2 linked regions of the Xenopus tropicalis genome follow. Each later gene encodes a partner of the first gene's protein in a complex. Links are inferred from orthologs where the notes say so. Each region holds a gene or a part of one and is shown on either strand. Other genes may lie near its edges.

Evidence for each region.
Region 2: kat6a (region 1) and brpf3 share a complex: the UniProt entries of both Homo sapiens proteins name them as parts of the MOZ/MORF complex. The link is inferred for Xenopus tropicalis from reciprocal best matches to the Homo sapiens genes KAT6A and BRPF3.

What each region holds. Positions count from the first base shown.
Region 1 is NC_030679.2:130,478,453-130,482,101, forward strand, and holds part of kat6a (histone acetyltransferase KAT6A), read right to left. Parts: intron 3,497-3,649; coding exon 3,335-3,496; intron 1,652-3,334; coding exon 1,558-1,651; intron 1,231-1,557; coding exon 999-1,230; intron 861-998; coding exon 641-860; intron 22-640; coding exon 1-21. UniProt on the Homo sapiens protein: Histone acetyltransferase that acetylates lysine residues in histone H3 and histone H4 (in vitro). Component of the MOZ/MORF complex which has a histone H3 acetyltransferase activity. May act as a transcriptional coactivator for RUNX1 and RUNX2.
Region 2 is NC_030678.2:65,001,715-65,005,874, reverse strand, and holds the start of brpf3 (bromodomain and PHD finger-containing protein 3), read right to left. Parts: upstream 2,843-4,160; 5' UTR 2,806-2,842; intron 84-2,805; exon of another isoform or gene 38-83; coding exon of another isoform or gene 29-37; intron 1-28. UniProt on the Homo sapiens protein: Scaffold subunit of various histone acetyltransferase (HAT) complexes, such as the MOZ/MORF and HBO1 complexes, which have a histone H3 acetyltransferase activity.

The DNA of each region.
Region 1 (3,649 bases):
GATGCTTCTCAAAACCTGTTGCTAAGGAGGGAGGGAGGGAGATAATTAACCGCAATGTTTCCAGCTTTATCATTATTCATTTCACACAACCAGGTTTCTGATTTGTACACATAAAACTTTACTTCCCTCCCCATTAACATTAAACTGTAAGGTAAGTATGTTTATTTAAAATAAGTATGAGCTAGACCAGTGATCCCCAACCAGTGGCTCATGAATAGCATGTTGCTTCCCAACCCCTTGGATGTTGCTCCCCGTGGCCTCAAAGCATCTACTTATTTTTGAACTTCTGGTAAGTTTTGGTTGCATAAAAACCAAATATAATGTCAAAAAGAGCCTTCTGTAGGCTGCTAGTCCACACAGGGGCTAATAAGTAGGCAATTATAGCTCATTGGCACCCCCAGGTACATTTTTAATGCTTGTGTTGCTCCCAAACACTTTTTCCATTTAAATGTGGCTCACATGTATAAAGTTTGGGGATCCCCGAGCTAGACTATGGCTACCAAGGGAAGGCCCAGCTCAGAGCCTAAATCAGTGATTTCGTTCATATCACATCATTCAATGTATAGCAGGTAAGTGACTGAACAAGACTAAGAACAGAAGAGCAGGCTAGCAGTATGGTTACACAGTCTGCCATACTCACACTGTTGTCTTTCAGAGGACTTCTTTGTTCTTCATCCTCCTCCTCCTCCTCATCCTCTTCTTCTTCAGATTCCGCTTCCTCTTCATCCGAGACCACAGAGTTGGTGACAATAACAGGTGTCCATCTCAAAGCTTCTGGATCCACCTCTACTTCCCGCGGCCGGGCCTGCAAACGACTCATGTGTGTCTGAATTTGTTGTTCCCGACGAACCAACACAACGCTGTACGAAGAAGAGGACAAACAGATAAGCATATAACGCATTGGTAAGGGGTGGGGGATTACATTCCCCAGTGAATTTAAAGAAAAAGAAGCAACAAGGAAGCCCCAAATAAGTATAACAGCAGCAGCAGGAGCTCACCGGTCTCCACGAAGTTCCAGCATACGTAGTTGGTGCAACGTGGCCGCAATGTCCTGGGGGCAGATACCAGTCAGCTTGGTGAGCCTTTTGATGCTTAGCTGGTGCTCTCGGTTGTGATGTAAACACTCAAGTACCACACTTTTCCAGTACGCCATGTAAGAGAGCCGACCCAGATCGGAAAGTGGCTTTTCTGGGGATCCTGCTTGCCCCTCTCGTTTAGAAAGTAGGTAACCTAGGAGGAAATAGCAAAGGTGTTGTGCATTACTATACATTGGATCATACATCAGTAAGAAGCCGATGCCTTCAGTAATGCAGGGAGCTTGGGCTCTCCCCCAGCGGGGCACAGTGCCTTGGATAGGGATCCAGCCTAAAAGCCAGGTAATATTTGGAGAGAATGTCTGCACTTCTAGACACTCTATGAAACCAGTCCTGGATGTCAATGAAGGGGACATATGGAGAGTAACGTTTGCATAAAGCGCTTCTAAAGCAGTGGAATACATCTAAGCAAACAGCTCCCATATAGTGTTAACAAGTATGTCCCCTCCCCCCCCTTACTTACTGAAGTCTATAAGGAAGCGGCCGTATCCTTTTCTCTGGTACTGTGGAAGAATCATGATGCAGGACACGTTGTACTTCTGCTGGCAGTGCTTCTCCTGGGGATGGAAGGGAAACACAAAGATGCATCAGAGCGTGGATCAGGCCCAGTATTATACAAGAATCACATACATGGCTTCTATGGACCGGATAAACGGGTTAGTGGGGAAGGCTTTATTTTATAGGAGGAGGGGGGTAGGAGGGTTTCTCATAGTAGGGTGCTGAAGCAGAAGCTGCTCATTCTTAAAGGCAATATTCACCTTTATATATGTATCACAATAGACTCTGCAACTGATCTGCATATTGTGCTGTGGGTTTCAAGTTTTTCCATTTTTTTTCATCAGCAACCAAGATTTTAAACAAGGTAGTTGCCCTAGCAACCTTAAACAGGAAGAGCACTCTGTGGCCCTCTAAGAAATGGACCTAATTCTTGCACGTTTAAGCAAGTCTGGCCACCAGAGGGCGCAGTCTGAGGATTTTATGCCAATCACAGTTGTACAATTTCTCTTTAACCTTGCATTTGCCTATTGGCCAGCCCTTGCTTGCATTACGACTTACCATGAGCACAATAATCTGCATTTGTAATTAAGTGTATATCCATGGAGTTTGTAATGGACTTGTATGGATCTGTAATGGACCACTGCTTGCATGCAACACAGCTGCGTATGGGGTGCAGAATGTAGGCATTGCAACAAAATTCCCTATTAGTCCACAAAATGTCACTTTTGGGTGGGAGATGAGAGACATTTTTACGCTGGGATTTCAGACGGGTGATTACAGGCCGGTGTCATCAGCACTGGCACGAACCCTCTGAAGCTTGCAGCTCACTGCTGATTATAAGGATGAAAGATGAGCTTCATGCTGCTATAGCCACAAAGAGAGAACTCCTGGGAACCAGCCTTATTTAGAATTCTGAAGCCTGACTAAAGAGCCCTAAAGCCTTTCATATTCTCTAGGACACAGCTTTCTGCATTCACCAAGTCATTAGAACCCCGTGGAAGCCTCTGATGTAGAGCTTCTGGCATGTCATTCTATAGACTTGGAATCTGCCGTACAATTAGAGCAGGGTCATCTCCGACTGCTGGCACTGACACGCCACCCTGCATTCCTTAGCAGCGCAGAAACCTGGCACGTGGAACCTTTGCTACTAAATGCTAGGGTCACCAAACAACCAGAATCGAAGGAGCCTATTGAAGCAGCCATCTCCCGGGCATTGCTGATTATCTAGATGAGAGAGATAAGAGTGCTGGGAAGGCTGATTTTCTTATCTAGAGCTTTTGCAACAATGCCATTTTCCATGGATTTTAACAGGGTGTTATCTCTGTTGCTATATGTTATGGGCCATTGGGAATTTGAAAGCTGAAAATGGTTAGAAGGTGGCAAATAATTTAACTAAAAAATAAAGAACAGTTGAAAAGTTGATAAGAACTGTCCATTTTATAACATAATAAAAGTTAATCTGAAGGTGAACCACCCCTTTAAACATATATGAATACAATCAACTATTAACATAAAAAAAAAAAAAAAAAAAATTTGAAAAATTAAAGTGAGGGGGTCCCTTTAAGAACACTGCCACAGCACTATCGTATCAGGGCTCCTCATTATTCATCCATTTGCTTGCCATCTGGCTTTGAAGGTAGCTGGAACTACGCGTAACCTACTTTGGGAAGAAGCTGAATCAGGGGACGTTCTTCCTTAGTGAGAAAAACACAGGTGCACAGCAAACAGCCCCTTTCCCTCACCTTGGAGAAATATCCAACAAGATGGCAGCCTTTCGAGTCATTCTGGGTCAGCACATAGAAGAGAAAGGGCTCCACGTCATAATAGAGGGTCTTGTGGTCGAGGAAGAGCTTGGCCAGAAGGCAGAGGTTTTGGCAGTAGATGGTGCTCACCTTTCCATCCACCTAAAGAAATGTTAATAGGAACATATAATCCAATACTGAGCAGTTTCACCTCTTTCTCCCCCCCCCCCCCCCCGCACCTTATTTCTGCCCATTTGTGGCTTTGGCATAAAGGTGACACAGTACCAAACGGAGGATGAATAAAAGGAAGCAAAC
Region 2 (4,160 bases), on another chromosome or scaffold:
CAATAGTAAAAAATCACGTCTGGCTCACCCAAGTCATGACTCCTCCAGTTACATTATGTAGAAGAGACAATAGCTTATCTGAAAGCAGTTCCATTGTGATATGCTGGCTCTTTCAAAAAGCACAGGATCAGACACAATGCACTGAGATGGCTGGCTGTACACCAATATTACATCTATAAAAAATGAATTTATTGATTGAGGAAAAACATTTTAATTTGTAGAATTAATTACATGCAAAGTACACAGTGTAATTTATTAATAAAAACTAAACCATACAAATCATGACAGAATCCCTTTAACTTTTAGCTTGTTATAAATGTTCTACCCAAAAGAACTTTTGAGTCTTCATTATTTCATTTGTATGGTTTTTGAATTATTAGCTTTGCTATTAAGGCTATTTACAGCCTACAACTAAAAAAAGAGATATGCTGGCTCATTTACAACAGTGGGGGAATTTGATTTGTGCAATAACCTATAGCAACTAATCAGTGATTAGATTTTTTTTCCCAACAAGTTGCAGGCAGAACAATGAAAGCAAGTATGTGAATGGCTGCCACCAGATGCGTGGCTTCTGTTTGGTTACATTCCTTCTAAGGCACTCTGCTATTCATCTTTTGATTTCAAAACTGTTAAATATTAAACTCTAAGCAACTTTAAAATATACAGAAATAATTTTGCTGAAATAAACTCCCTTACAGATAAGACTAAAATCCCCACATTGTTGCAAACTTGTTATTCTCCCTCTTCTTAGGTCTGTTGATCAAAAAACACGGAGGGCCCTGAAGAAACTTGGGTAGCTGATTACTGGTACAATTTTTTGAATGCACCAAGTAATTGGTAAAACAAATGAAGTAATGGTAAGAGACATGTCTTAATAGCATTAAATATTACATTTACAAATAACGAACATCACAAATGTTTTGAATAATGGTAGTTTATAATGGGTAGTAGCTCCATTAAAAGCAGAAGCATTTAGTCTTATGTAATACACCTAAAAATGTACATTCCATCAGAAATGTAAGCTTAAAAGCCAATTATCCACAAGGGCATAAATCCTACTCAATAACACAGAAAAGGTAAAGATTTTTAATTACCAACTGAAATTTTCTGATTATCAATGACTATAAGAAGAATTCAGTATTTTATCTATTATTAGTATTTTAAGGGTGAAGTTTTCAAAATAAATTTTTAGACATTTTTTTTTACACTTCTCTGATCCTGGCAACCAAAGAGATCTACTGAAAGACTGATTTTGCTATCAACCCTTTATCATCTTTCTGATAATACCCTCTTTTTTAATGTTTTATTCTGACTTCGAAGCTGATGCCTGATTTCCAAGCCCAAGCAACTGAACAGCAGATTAAATCCCTAGCCAGAGAGATATAAAATAAAAAGTAAAGATTAAAAAGTAATGCAAATCTGTCTTACAGTATCACTGCCTACAAAAAAGGATATTTTAAAGTAAAGAACTTATTTAGATAATTTACCCAGATAAACAATAGATTAGACACTGCTGACCAATCAGACCGGAAGCTGTTTGATATCTGCCTATACAAAACAAATGCAGAGAAAATACTACTGTGGGCAGCATGGTGGCTAAGTGGTTACCCCTGCTGCCTTTCAGCAGTGTGATATCAAGTTCAATTGTGACAGGGCACTACTTGCAAAGTTTTGTCTTGAAGTTTGCTGACATTGAGCATGCACAGTTGAAATTAGGTCCAGAAGCAGCCTCAACTGTGCAGGCTCCTTGTAAATGAATGAAGAGGACACGAACAGGCAGAAGATGGTAGTTTGTTAATTATTAGACTTCATTATTCTGTCTATTCCGAGTCTGTAACTTCAATCCAGTGGGGGGGGGGGGGTCACTTACCATAAAAAAAATTAGATTGACTATGAGGGTTATGACTTCCAAACTGCCTTCACATTAGGGTAATTAAAGTCTAAAAGTTGAAATTCCAAGCCCCTAAGTTACGGAACAAAAATTGTTAAATGCCTTAGGCTAATGAATAGAATGCGCTCGGGTGCAGGCACATGTAGCCGAAATCCGCATAAAAACACGAGAGAATGCAAATGCACTTAAATCTTGCCAATGGTCATTAATCATTAACATAAAATAGGTGTAGTACTGCATTTTGGAACAATAGGTATGCATGAAATTTGGAATTCAGCTGAACCTTCTTCTGCAGGGTTCAAGTTTGGCTGAATCCAAGTGCCTGACTGAACCGAAGCAGAACCCTTAAAATCATGTGATAACATTATTGTGAAAAATCCCTTTCAGACCAAGCTAAACTGCTCTTTAGGAGTGGGATTCAGAAACCTTCACGAAAATTTCAACACGCAGACCAATCCTGAAAAACTTAATCTGGGCATCCCTAACACTTAAACATTTGCAATGAATATCAGAACACCTAGCAAATATTACGCTGTGTCTTAAAACCAGGGCAAATACTGCCTTGATCCTACAAAATGCTACACTTTGCACTGCAATAATACATTTCCCTAAAGCATGTCCACAAGGAAATGATTTAATCTATGAGAATATTCCTGAAAAAATCCTTGAGAGAACCACTGTGCAAAGTCAAAAATCCAAAGACACGACATTATTTACTTATCTGTTAAATTCACGTATGCAGTTACACATATGTAAAGCAACTCTAGAAAACCCATGGAGGCTTTAAGCAAGTAAACCGTTTAGCGATGTGATTTGTATAAAAGATACATTGAAATCAGTCACTAAAAACGGTATGCAGCATACAGTACAATAGTCCCGCTATATGCGGGACAATCACGATGTTCTTAACACACCCGCTGTCCAAGCTCCCTGCTTAAACGTCCCGCAACGCCATTAACATCCAGACCCTTGGTTCCTGCCTGACAGCTAATCCCTACGTCACAAGTCTCATCGCGCGAGACTGTGACATCACAACTTCACGTCTATGAGAGCAGTGACGCGGTACGTAGCAGTTTGGCAGAGTGATGAGTTAGGACGATGTACTCAATGTAAAACAGCCTGATGCTTGTTGCAAAAAGTGGTAGTTTGTGGTGGGTTCAAAGGGCTGTGCCACTAGAGCTTCTGCTCATTGTTTTTTCTGTGTATAGCTTCGTCTTGATCTAGGGAACTAAAAGAAAAAAAATACGTTTTTCTTTTGTAGTTAATCCTACGTAACGAGATAGGAGCCCCTTTTCTTGTTTTCAGCAAAAAAGTGAAGGCTTTTGTGAAAACTAGGCCTGGTAAAATTAAGTAACCTTTTTGATCTTTTCTGTACCTGGAAGTATTTTGTCAGCTGTGGCTAGATTTTTCACAGTTTAGGGACAAAACGATGGCTGATTTAGAATAAAACAGTAAGTAAAATTTACCAACTGTAATTTTGAGATTTTTGTCTTTTTTTTAATGGCTTCAGAGGGTTATAGAATTTTACTCTTCGCTCTGGTTCTGTCACAGAAGTATGCAGGTTCCTGATCAGTTGCACTGCAGAAAGTTCAGGGGCTCCAAAAAGGTGTTGGTAAAGACCAGTGCTGGCATGGGGTTCAAAGAGAAGAAACACAAGCTGCCACCCACAGCAAGACTTTTTGTCATTTTGAGCTCTGGTCCAGTGTTTTATGTGAACACTAAAGGTCCCCATACACGGGCCGACTATAGCTGCCGATATCGGTCCCTTGGACCGATTCGGCAGCTAATCGGCCCGTGTATGGGGAGAGCAGAGCGGCCTGGCCGACCGATATCTGGCCTGAAATTGGCCTGATCTCGATCGGCCAGGTTAGAAAATCCGGTCGGATCGGGGACCGCATCGGCTTGTTGATGCGGTCCCCGATCCGACTGCCCCATTGCTGCCCACATAATCCGATCGTTTGGCCCCAGGGCCAAACGATCGGATTATTTTTTTTTTTTACCTAAATGCTCCCCGATATCGCCCACCCGTAGGTGGGGATATCGGGGGAAGATCCGCTCGCTTGGCGACATCGCCAAGCGAGCGGATCTGCTCGTGTATGGCCACCTTAAGGCAGTATTTTACATTTTAGGGACAAAACAATGGGTAAAATTTAACGAGTAATCTTACGTTTTTAGGCTCTTTTGTTCACCATGTTGTCAGAGGGTCCCAGTGTTTTTTGTTTAACCCTTTCCCTGCCAAGCACGTAGCTTCTACGTGCTGGCATAAAAA